Callithrix jacchus: one gene and its partners. The main gene of each other region encodes a partner of the protein of the gene in region 2 in a complex. Links are inferred from orthologs where the notes say so. Each region holds a gene or a part of one and is shown on either strand. Other genes may lie near its edges.

Region 1 (3,748 bases), on a different chromosome or scaffold from region 2:
GTTGGTCAGGTTGGTCTCGAACTCCCGACCTCAGCTGATCCGCCCAACTCGGCCTCCCAAAATGCTGGGATTACAGGAGTGAGCCACAGCACCTGGCCTGTCCAACCTCTTCTAAGTCTCCAGTAATACCTTAAAACAGACCTGACAATTGCCAACCCCTTTTACAATTTTTAAGTTTCCTGTTGTCTACAGAATAAAGGCCTTTTACAAACCCTGCCCAGGCTTCCCTCCGGCGGTATCAGCCCGCATCATCCTCAGTCCCCGTCAGAGTGAGCCGTCTGTGCAGTCCTCTCCCTCTGCCTTTGCTTGGTCTCCCGCCTGGAATGCCATCTCCGCCTCTGCGCTTGCCTAGGGCTTCCGGTCCGCCCCTGCTCCAGTTGCCCCAGGACGCCTGCCCTGGAGCCCTCGCCCTGTCCCTTGTCCTATTTTTGTGAAACTTTCTATTTCGGTCCGTCGGGAGTGTTTACCCGGGGAACTCCTGTCCAAAGAGGGCCAGTGATGTCTTTGGAACTTTCTGGAATGTCCTGACTCCCACGGCCCCCTCTGCAGCGCACGGAGCAGTGAGTCTAAAGTAAGTGCGCCTCCTGGAGCCCGGGTGCTATGGTTTGGACAGGGGCTGCAGGGCTGGCTCTCGCCCTGGAGAGATCACTGGAAGAGGAGGAGCGCGGATACGCGGCGGTACTGACAAAGAGATCCCGCCGCTCGCAGGGGCTTGTAAATCGTGCCCTCTTTCGTAAGGGGGTAATCTGAGGTTCAGGGCAAACGACTCGGCCAGGGTCACTTAGGTGAGTGGCGCGCTCAGGGTCCCTCAGGGGGCGGCTGTGGCCAGCAGCAGCGGCAGTTTCCGCCGGCGTGCGGGTGGTCTGCGGAGCACTCCTCGGCCCGGCCTGCAGGGAGAGGCGGGGCGCGCGGGGGCGGAGGCGAGGGCCCGGGCGGGGCCGACACAGGTGCTCCGCATCTGGCCGGGGGGCGGCTCCGAGGAGCGGCTCGGTGGAGCTTCATAAGCTGCTCGGGTGCGGGGCTGCGTGCGGCTCGCTGCAAAAACAGTGCCCACGTGCGTGCGCGTGTCTCGCCCGCCGGCCGGCCGGCCAGCCAGCTCCTCAGCCCCGCAAGGCCACACCGGCCCCATGGCGTTCCCGCTGGTAAGAGCCGCCCGCCGCTCGCCTGGGCGGGGCCGCGTCCCGGCCGCAGTAGCTAACGGTCCGTGCGCAGCCGGGTCCGGCGCAACGGTACCCCATCCCCCGCCCCGTGCGCGAGTTCCGGGCGGGGCGAGGTCACGTGCCCGCGGGCGTGGGGCCTCGTGGAGGGGTGGAGGGTGAGGGGGGCAGGGAGCCTCCTCGTGACTCAGGGCCTTTGGGCTTAAAGGCGCCGCAGCCTTGCGGGGGTGGCCGGTGGGGCCTCGGAGCCGCACTGCAGCCTCCGGGTGGCCTCGAGCGTCTGTCCAGACGGGAGCTGACCGGACAGAAAGGAGCCCTGGGGCCCAGAACACTTCTTTCTCACCCTGCCGTCGCACCCGAAGCCGCTAGCGCTGGAAGCTCACGTCCCGCTGTGGGTCTCTTTCGCACCCGCCGTGGGGCGAGGGGGAAGCCGGGTGGGGTGGGGCGGGACGGGGCGGGGCTGCTGACGCCATAGACCTCGCGCTGTGTGGAGCGCCCCACGACGGCGGCGGCCTCGGCCCCTTTAAGGCGGAGGGATCAAGCCCCTCGTGCGGCTTCCCAAGCCCGGGAAGGTCACGTGGCTTCACACCTTCGCTTGGCGCGGGAGTCCTGAGGCGAGGCTGGCGGAGTAGTGGGGCGCGAGGGCGGAAAACTGGCGGGGCTTCGCGTCCGCGAGACCCAAGGGGCTGTCGGCTTTGAGGTGGGCTCTGGGGTCGTGGGTGGGAGAGGGGTAGGCGTGCAGGCCGTGGAGGTGGCGCACACGGGGAGAGGTCGGAGCCCGAGTCGGGCTGTGCTGTGCAGACCCTGCGGCCTGGCGAGCGGGTGCATGTGGTCTCGGCGTTCTGGTCATTCTTCTCAGTGCCGGAGGAGGCCAGGTCTCCAGACTCAGGTCCGGCCTCAGGTTTGGTGGAGCAGCGGCTGGGGCGCTGGACGGGCCGCTTCCCTTGACGAACTGGTTGGGCGGGCCTGTGCCCGCCTGGAGTCACCCGGGAGTTGTGGGGACTCACCCACAAAGGGGCTCTCACCTTGGGGTGTCCCAGCCGGCGTCATTCCCCGGGGCTGCTGCTTCTCTCGTGGGTTCCTGTGCGGTCGAGTCGACCGAGGCTTTGCTGCCTCATTCCTAGGGGGCCCCGGGAGGCCAGAGGCCCCGTGAGCGGCCCCGCTGGCCCCGGGACCCGACCGAGAAAAGCCAGGCGGGCTCCTGGGCTTTCGGGCGCCTTCGTGGGCGCGCGCTTGATTTCTCGGTGGCACTTTGCTCCCTGCAGGCTTGGCCCCTTGCACCGTGCTGTCAGCTAGGGTTCCTCCCGTGGGGAAGAGTCGGGAGCGGAATCCGCCCTTAGAAGCCGGATTGCCTCGGGCCAGGTTGGCCCGGGAGGAGGCGGCGTCCCTCCTCCCCCGCCCCGCGCCTGCTGCCCGGCCCTGACTGACGCCCTATTTCTCTGGCAACTGCTTCCCTTGGTCTCCCTGGCTACCGCCCTGCCTCCCTGCACTGTCTCCTGGCACCTGAGTCAACCACTGGGCTGCGTGGTTGATGGGGACGAGGGGCAAGTGGGTGGGGTTCCTATTGTGGAAGGCACAGGTGCACCGCCCGCCTCTTGGCTGCCCTTCAGGTGACGGGGCTGTCCCTTGCCAGCGCCAAGAGTATCTGCTGAGGACAGTTTGCACCCTGAGGCTCGTGTTCCCTTTCAGTCTAGGTACCCACGTGGGTTAAAAAATAAAAAATTCAAACAGAACCTAATCTTGGAAACCTCAAGTTGGTGATTGTTTTCCTGATTGGTTTTTTGCACAGTTAGAAAAGCTTGCAGAGCTCGGGAATGTTGGAAAACCCTGGGGACTCTGTTTTTGGGACTCATCACTGGTCTTTTACTTGTCCCCATTGAACTGGCTTGGAGCTGAGCTATATTCCCAGAGCACGTTGCTGTAGAGTTTGGCTTTTTAAATTTTTTTGTCACGGCGTTTAGAACTTTGGGTGGCCTAGTAGCCCCTGCTCGGTTTATAGAAATAGGAAGTTGACTACCCTGTGTGTAAGTCAACCTTTGTAATATAAAAATACTTGGCTTCCCCGCTCCGAACGGCTTGTCTTATAAACAACTCCCTGGCCTAGGCTCCCGCGAGCGGGAGGGAGGTTGTGCCAGCCTGTGCAGCTCTTTGGGGGGTTGGAGAGCTGAAGCCTGTGGTGAATGATGGTGGGAACACTGGCAGTTTGGGTTAGGCCATAGGCGTTCCATGGGCTTTTCTTTCACTGTAGTGCACAAACCAGTGCCCGTGAAGGGAAAAGTGGAGGAGCATGATAAAGTAGTAGGACTCCAGGCTCAGCACCAAACTTATCATTGGCTCACTAGTTAATAGCTGCCTTAATAAGCATTTTCTCTGAGCACAACCGTTAATTGTGTTCTTAATCTTTAAAATGGGTTGCAAACTCAAACCCTGCAGGGGCCTGAGGTAACATAAATGAGCAGAGGAGGAGGAAGGAAAGGTAATGGCTACTGAGCTATAGAGTTTGTTTCTCTGAAAGGAGCAGCCACTAGCTGATTGTTGGCTATCTCTATTTTGATGAATCTCCTGACTTTTAAATGTAGCATTTAAAAAAT
Region 2 (3,002 bases):
CAGTTGCTCACACACATTCACACCCCACACACCACGTGCACACACACTCAGCCTTCCCCACTTGGCTGTCAAAACGAGTCACTCAGATGCTACTGTGTTGCCATCTTGCCCCCTCTGCTGGCAGCCCTGTTCCTCCTTCCTCCACCAGCCCTGGCCTTCCCTTCCTCCTGGAGATTCAGACCTGATGGGCTGGTTTGGGCCACACAGGGAGGGGCCATCCTGAGTTCTGCCAGCATGCAGACTGTAGGTAGGAAGCTGGGAGAAGAGCTTTGTCGCCTGCCTCTGGGACCCTGGGACCCACAGTCTTCGAGTGTCCCTTGCAAAGCCCACCAGGGTGCCTCGGAGGCCTTTCCCAGTGCCAGGCTGTTCTTCCCAGATGGAACAGCATGGGAGGGCTGCTGTGGCAGTGTTGGGCCCTCCCTGGACAGCTCTCCTACCTCTGCCCAGAGGACCCCGGGGGCCCAGCCCCCTGCCTGGGTCAGCCTCTCCCTGCCTCCCACTCTGGCCTGTCCAGCTTGGATATAGATTTTCCCTCAAGTGTGTGTGTGTGTGTGTGTGTGTGTGCACGCGCGCGTGTGTGTGCACGCGCGCGTGCGTGCGTGCACATGGTGAGAGTGACAGCGGGAGCAGGGGTGTGAGACTCACAGGGTGGCAGGACTCATGGATGACTGGTGGGGTGCACCAAGTGCTGATGCACATGAAGGTGCATCTTCTTGGGTGAGGACAGGTGTGACTGGGTGCAAGTGTGTGTGAGGAGAAGGGTTGTGGGGCGCATGTGCACTTGTAGGGGGAGGTTTTCCAAGTGAAGTGCTGCCCCCCTCCCACCCAGCTCTGGAGCCCTCCATCCCGTTTGGTCAGGTGCCCCTGCCCCTGACCTGGCACTCCCATTCCATTCCATGTCTGCAGGCTACATCCAGAAGATCAAGTCAGGAGAGGAGGACTTTGAGTCTCTGGCCTCACAATTCAGCGACTGCAGCTCAGCCAAGGCCAGGGGAGACCTGGGCGCCTTCAGCAGAGGTGCGCAAGGAATGGGCTTCACCAGGTCTGGGGACCCTCTCCTCCCTAAGGGGTAGAGGCTGGGAGGGTCTGGGCACTGGGATCCGGGGTGCCACATGGCCCTTCAGGGTCCAGCAGGTGGCAGCACAGCCCCTTCCTCAGGCTTCAGAGTCTGCTCTGCTGGGCAGGGCGGGGGCCACACAGGGTGGGGGCTGCAGAGCTTTCTTCCTGGCATCGTCTCTATCCCGGGCCCACCAAGGCAGGTGCGTCCTGTCCTCTGCCTCTTCCTTTGGGGGTTTAAGGCTGGGTTCCCTGAGAATCCCAGGGAATGTTCCCCAGAATCCCTCTGGGTGGGGGGAGGTGGCCCTGAGTTTAGGCCTGTCTGGCCAGGACAGTGGAAATCAGGGGCAGAGAGGACCAAGCATCCTCCTTTTCCTTCTCAGGGTCTGCAAACAGGGAGAGGCCAGGCTGGGGTGTGGGGTGCATGCATCTGAGGGGGTTGGGGGTCCATAATGGGGCCAGCAGCTTCCCCCCTGCTCCGAGGAGGCTGGTGGGACAGATGACCTGGCAGGGCTGGGAACCAGGCCCAGGGAGATGAGTTCACTACCGAAGCGACCCCTAAACGCGCAGCAGCGGCTGCAGCCCTGCCTGCCATCCTTCATGCTGTCCTCGGGCTTCCTGGGGCCTCTTTAATGGCCCTGCCGCCCCCAGCTGGGCCACCACTCAGCACCGGCAATAAACATGGTGACGGATGAGTGTGGACGAGTGTGAGGCTCAGCGCAGTCAGGAGCCCCATCTATTGTGGCTGCCACCCGCCCTGCCTTATCCTGGCCTCTGACAACCCTGCCTTGACACCCCACCATCCCTCCCGGCTCCCAGGTCAGATGCAGAAGCCATTTGAAGATGCCTCATTTGCGCTGCGGACGGGAGAGATGAGCGGGCCCGTGTTCACGGATTCTGGCATCCACATCATTCTCCGCACAGAGTGAGGGTGGGGAGCCCAGGCCTGGCCTCTGGGTGGGGCAGGGCGGCTGGGCCCGCCAGCTCCCCCACTGCCTGCCGGCCAGTGGTCAAACCCCCTACTCCCTGCCACCGTCAAACAGTATTTATTGTTCCCAAAATGGCTGGGAGGGGGCCCTTCCAGATTGGGGGCCCTAGAGTCCCCACTCCCCGTCCATTCCCAGTTGGGGCTGCGACTGCCAGGCTCTCCCTTAAGGAATTGACTTCAGCAGGGGTGGAAGGTGCCCAGAACCAGGGCAGTGTGGTGGGAGGGGTGTTCCAAAGAGAAGGCCTGGTCAGCAGAGCCGCCCCGTGTCTTCCCCAGGTCCTGGAGGCAGACTCGAGGGCCGAGTTGTTTCTAGTTAGGCCACGCTCCTCTGTTCAGTTGCAAAAGCAAACACTCGTGCGGCCCAGCAGTGGGCCCTCTGAGCAACCGTGCAGTACCCTTTTACCCCAATTAAACACCTAGAACCACTACTCCGCTCTCTTATGTCTCATTTCTCTTTAGGGAAGCATAGGGGGCACCATGTCACTGGGAGGGGATCACAATCCCCCATCCTAAGGGTCCCAGCTATGCGTTTACCCTCAAGAGGCTCCCCCTTGCCCTGGGCCAGGGGGAGTCCCAGCAGCTGGCTCTCAGGGACGTGGGCACTGTTCAGCCACCCAGCACCCTGATACCTGCTTCCCTGGCATCTCAGGTGCTTCTGGAAGGTTCATGGGTCCAGCCCAGCACCCACTGCAGCTGTGGTTACCATGACAACAGGGCCCTCCGGGACTGGAGGGGGCTCCTGCAGGGAGGGGGATGGGAGCAGACACAGCTTCCAGTGCCTGAAGTGGGACAGGGGATCCTGGGGTGGGTGGTGAGGAGATGGGGTCCCCCACCAGTGTTGGGGCTGTGGGTGTGGCCTGCCTGATCCCCATCCCTGTTCAGTCAGCTGTGGGTCTGTTGGATGGAGAAGTGGTTATGCCTGCATACCCTACCCCCCCCTCACTTGATGAGGACCAGC
Region 3 (3,395 bases), on a different chromosome or scaffold from region 2:
TATCTGCAATTGGAAGTTGCCTAGAGCACACTGAAAAATCTGAAGGGTATAGTGGGGTACTGATACCATCTGCCTCAGAAAATGACATTCTTGGAAGTACAGTTTTAAATTATATTGAACCTGTGTTGCTTGGAGATGAACAGTTGATAATGGGCTTTTCTTATAATTGAAGGGCTGTTAGTCTATAGAAGCAAGTAGGTTTATTGACTTATTCTGTGTAGCAGATAAGGTGGAACTAAAATCAGTGCATGGAAGTGACAGGATATCATTGAATAATTTGTAATTCCCATAGAGTTGTCCCTTTTGTTGAAGCACTATTAAAAGCCCGAATGGTGTTGCTAAGAGGGATGTTCATTGGCTTTGTCAGGGAAAGTTGAACTCCAGCATTTAACACTCTCTGTGGTAAGGGTTTACCTTGGGCCAAGATTTTGTTTTTGTTTTGATATACTTGTATTTAGACTCCATTTGATTATTTGAGTATCTACTATGCTGTAGTTGATTTGTTGAGTACAGTGACCGTATATATGTCTTGGTTTGCTTGGGAGAATCCTGATTCATGTCTCTTCTTCTGGCTTTATTTATTTGTGTGTTGGGACAGAGTCTCACTCTCTCGCCAAGCTAGATTGCAGTGGTGTGATCTTGGCCCACTACAACATCTGCCTCCTGGGTTCAAGCAATTCTCCTGCCTCAGCCTGCCGAGTAGCTAGGACTACAGGCACCCGCTACCACCCCAACTAATTTTTATATTTTTGGCAGAGATTGGGTTTCACCACGTGAGCCAGGATGGTCTTGATCTCTTGACCTCATAATCTACCTGCCTCAGCCTCCCAAAGTGCTGAGATGACAGGTGTGAGCCACTGCACTCAGCCCTGGCCTGATTAATAATAATACCCACAGTTTCTCTCAGGTGTTCAGTTTTGGACGATGGTGAATAGTAAGATCACCTTATTAATTTTAGTTTGATGTGATTTACAAGAACATCTTTTTCTCTTTTAAAACAAGGTCATCAGAAGTACTTTGTTTGACTCTGAGGATCAACCATTTTTCAAAATAATCGTGTCCAAAATTATATACTCAACCTTTTAATTTCTGTAAATTTTTAATGCAGTGTACATAAACAGCCATTTTTCCTGCTTGTGGACTTTATTTCATAATTATTTTCCTATATTCTTTTAAACAGAAGGCAGACGGTAACAAGTACTCCTTGCTGGATTGAACTTCATCTGAATGGACCTCTGCAGTGGTTGGACAAAGTATTAACTCAGATGGGATCCCCTTCAGTGCGTTGCTCAAGCATGTCATAAAGCTTCATCACCAATCAATTTCCATCAAAAGACTTAATGTAACAACTCTTCTGTCATAGTATTGTGTGTGGTCTCCATGGACTGTTTACTGTCCAAAAGTTCAAGAGAGAAAACAGCACTTGAGGTCTCATCAATTAAAGCACCTTGTGGAATCTGTTTCCTATATTTGAATATTAGATGGGAAAATTAGTGTCTAGAAATACTCTCCCATAAAAGAGGAAGAGAAGATTTTAAAGACTTAATGATGTCTTATTGGGCATAAAACTGAGTGTCCCAAAGGTTTATTAATAACAGTAGTAGTTATGTGTACAGGTAATGTATCATGATCCAGTATCACAGTATTGTGCTGTTTATATACATTTTTAGTTTGCATAGATGAGGTGTGTGTGTGCGCTGCTTCTTGATCTAGGCAAACCTTTATAAAGTTACAGTACCTAATCTGTTATTCCCACTTCTCTGTTATTTTTGTGTGTCTTTTTTAATATATAATATATATCAAGATTTTCAAATTATTTAGATGCAGATTTTCCTTGTAGAAAAACTAATTTTTCTGCCTTTTACCAAAAATAAACTCTTGGGGGAAGAAAAGTGGATTAACTTTTGAAATCCTTATCCTTAATGTGTTCAGTGGGGCTTAAACAGTCATTCTTTTTTTGTGTGTGTGTTTGTGTGTTTTTTTTTAACTGCTAAATCTTATTATAAGGAAACCATACTGAAAATCTTTCCAAGCCTCTTTTCTCCATTCCCATTTTTGTCCTGATAATCAAAATAGCATAGCATGACATCTTCACCAGTAATAGTTGCACTGATACTGCTGGCACCAGTTAATTCTGGGGTACAGTAAGAATTCATATGGAGAAAGTTCCTTTGACACCCAATTTTCGACAGGAATAATTGGCTTGTATAACCTGGCAGTCTGTTGATTTAACTTTCCACCTACAAAAAAATACATAGGTGGCAGTATAATTATTTTCAGGGATATGCTAGAATTACTTCCACGTATTTTTCCCTTTTTAAAAAGCTAATCTATAAATACCCTTTTTTCAAAAGGTATTTTAAAATATTTCAACCGCAGACCTTCTGGTCTTCTAGTAGTTTCATTTGATTTAGTTACCAGATTGTATTATGAAATGAACCTTTTGTAGATGTAATTGTTTCTGCAAAATACCTAGAAAAGTGATGCTGAGGTACGATCAGCAGATATGGGCCATCTGTTTTTAAAGTATGTTGTATTCAATTTGTAAATTGATTGTTACTCTACATGTAATTATGAATTCAGAATTTTAAAAACTGGGGGGAAAAGCCATTTCTTTAGCAAGTTTTTTAGCTTTTAAGTTACCTGCAGTCTGAGCTGTTCTTAACTGATCCTCAGTTTGTGGTTGACCATATTTCATACTCTGTAGTGAGAGGAGATTTCCGAAACTCTGTTGGTAGTTCATTCTGCAGCAAATAATTATTATGTCTAATGTTGACTCATTGCAGTTTAAACATTTCTTCTTGTTTGCATCTTAGTAGAAATGGAAAATAACCACTCCTGGTCATCTTTTCATAAATTTTCATATTTTTGAAGCTATCTTTGGTACTTGTTCTTTGAAATCATACTCAACCTGTCTCTACAGGTATCATTTTCGATACTTTCAACATTTGGTGGTTTTCTATTGGATACTCGCCATTTTCCTGTATTTGTGTGTATATGTATGTGTTCATGTAAATTTGGTATAGTAATTTTTTATTCGTTCAACAGATATTTATTGTTCGCATGTTTGTACCAGGAACTTTCTTAGTCTTTGGGTAAAGGTGAACAAGACAGCTACAGTTCCTGCCTTTGCTGAGACAGCAATTACACTAATCCTTAATCATCTTGTCTTTGAAGGAGATAAACAGGGTACTGTACTGGAGAATAACAGATGGATGCTTCAGGTAGGACATCAAGGAAAGCCTCTCAGGAAATGATGCATGAGCTAATACCTGACATTGAAGAAGCAAGCCAAGTGATGAGCCAGGGAAGATAAGCATTCCTGGCAAAGAGAATAGCATCAAATGCAAAAAGGCTCACACTAAAGGAAACTCATGATTAGATATTAATGCTTT

The links.
Region 1: the proteins of PIN1 (region 2) and CPEB1 are in contact, whole or in part, in an NMR structure (PDB 2N1O), measured with the Homo sapiens proteins. The link is inferred for Callithrix jacchus from reciprocal best matches to the Homo sapiens genes PIN1 and CPEB1. Residues at the interface, in NP_006212.1 of Homo sapiens: Arg17, Tyr23, Ser32, Gln33, Trp34, Glu35; in NP_001352172.1 of Homo sapiens: Arg206, Ile207, Ser208, Pro209, Pro210, Leu211, Pro212, Phe213.
Region 3: the proteins of PIN1 (region 2) and SMAD2 are in contact, whole or in part, in an NMR structure (PDB 2LB3), measured with the Homo sapiens proteins. The link is inferred for Callithrix jacchus from reciprocal best matches to the Homo sapiens genes PIN1 and SMAD2. Residues at the interface, in NP_006212.1 of Homo sapiens: Glu12, Arg14, Met15, Ser16, Arg17, Ser18, Tyr23, Phe25, Trp34; in NP_001003652.1 of Homo sapiens: Pro218, Glu219, Thr220, Pro221, Pro222, Gly224.

What each region holds. Positions count from the first base shown.
Region 1 is NC_133507.1:23,935,784-23,939,531, reverse strand, and holds the start of CPEB1 (cytoplasmic polyadenylation element-binding protein 1), read left to right. Parts: upstream 1-1,339; 5' UTR 1,340-1,548; exon of another isoform or gene 1,549-2,582; intron 2,583-3,748. Other genes in the region: uncharacterized protein LOC144576600, read right to left, coding at 809-1,129.
Region 2 is NC_133523.1:9,042,703-9,045,704, forward strand, and holds the end of PIN1 (peptidyl-prolyl cis-trans isomerase NIMA-interacting 1), read left to right. Parts: intron 1-906; coding exon 907-1,017; coding exon of another isoform or gene 1,018-1,042; intron 1,043-1,875; coding exon 1,876-1,985; 3' UTR 1,986-2,472; downstream 2,473-3,002. UniProt on the Homo sapiens protein: Peptidyl-prolyl cis/trans isomerase (PPIase) that binds to and isomerizes specific phosphorylated Ser/Thr-Pro (pSer/Thr-Pro) motifs.
Region 3 is NC_133514.1:90,930,349-90,933,743, reverse strand, and holds the end of SMAD2 (mothers against decapentaplegic homolog 2), read left to right. Parts: intron 1-1,180; coding exon 1,181-1,304; 3' UTR 1,305-2,877; downstream 2,878-3,395. UniProt on the Homo sapiens protein: Receptor-regulated SMAD (R-SMAD) that is an intracellular signal transducer and transcriptional modulator activated by TGF-beta (transforming growth factor) and activin type 1 receptor kinases.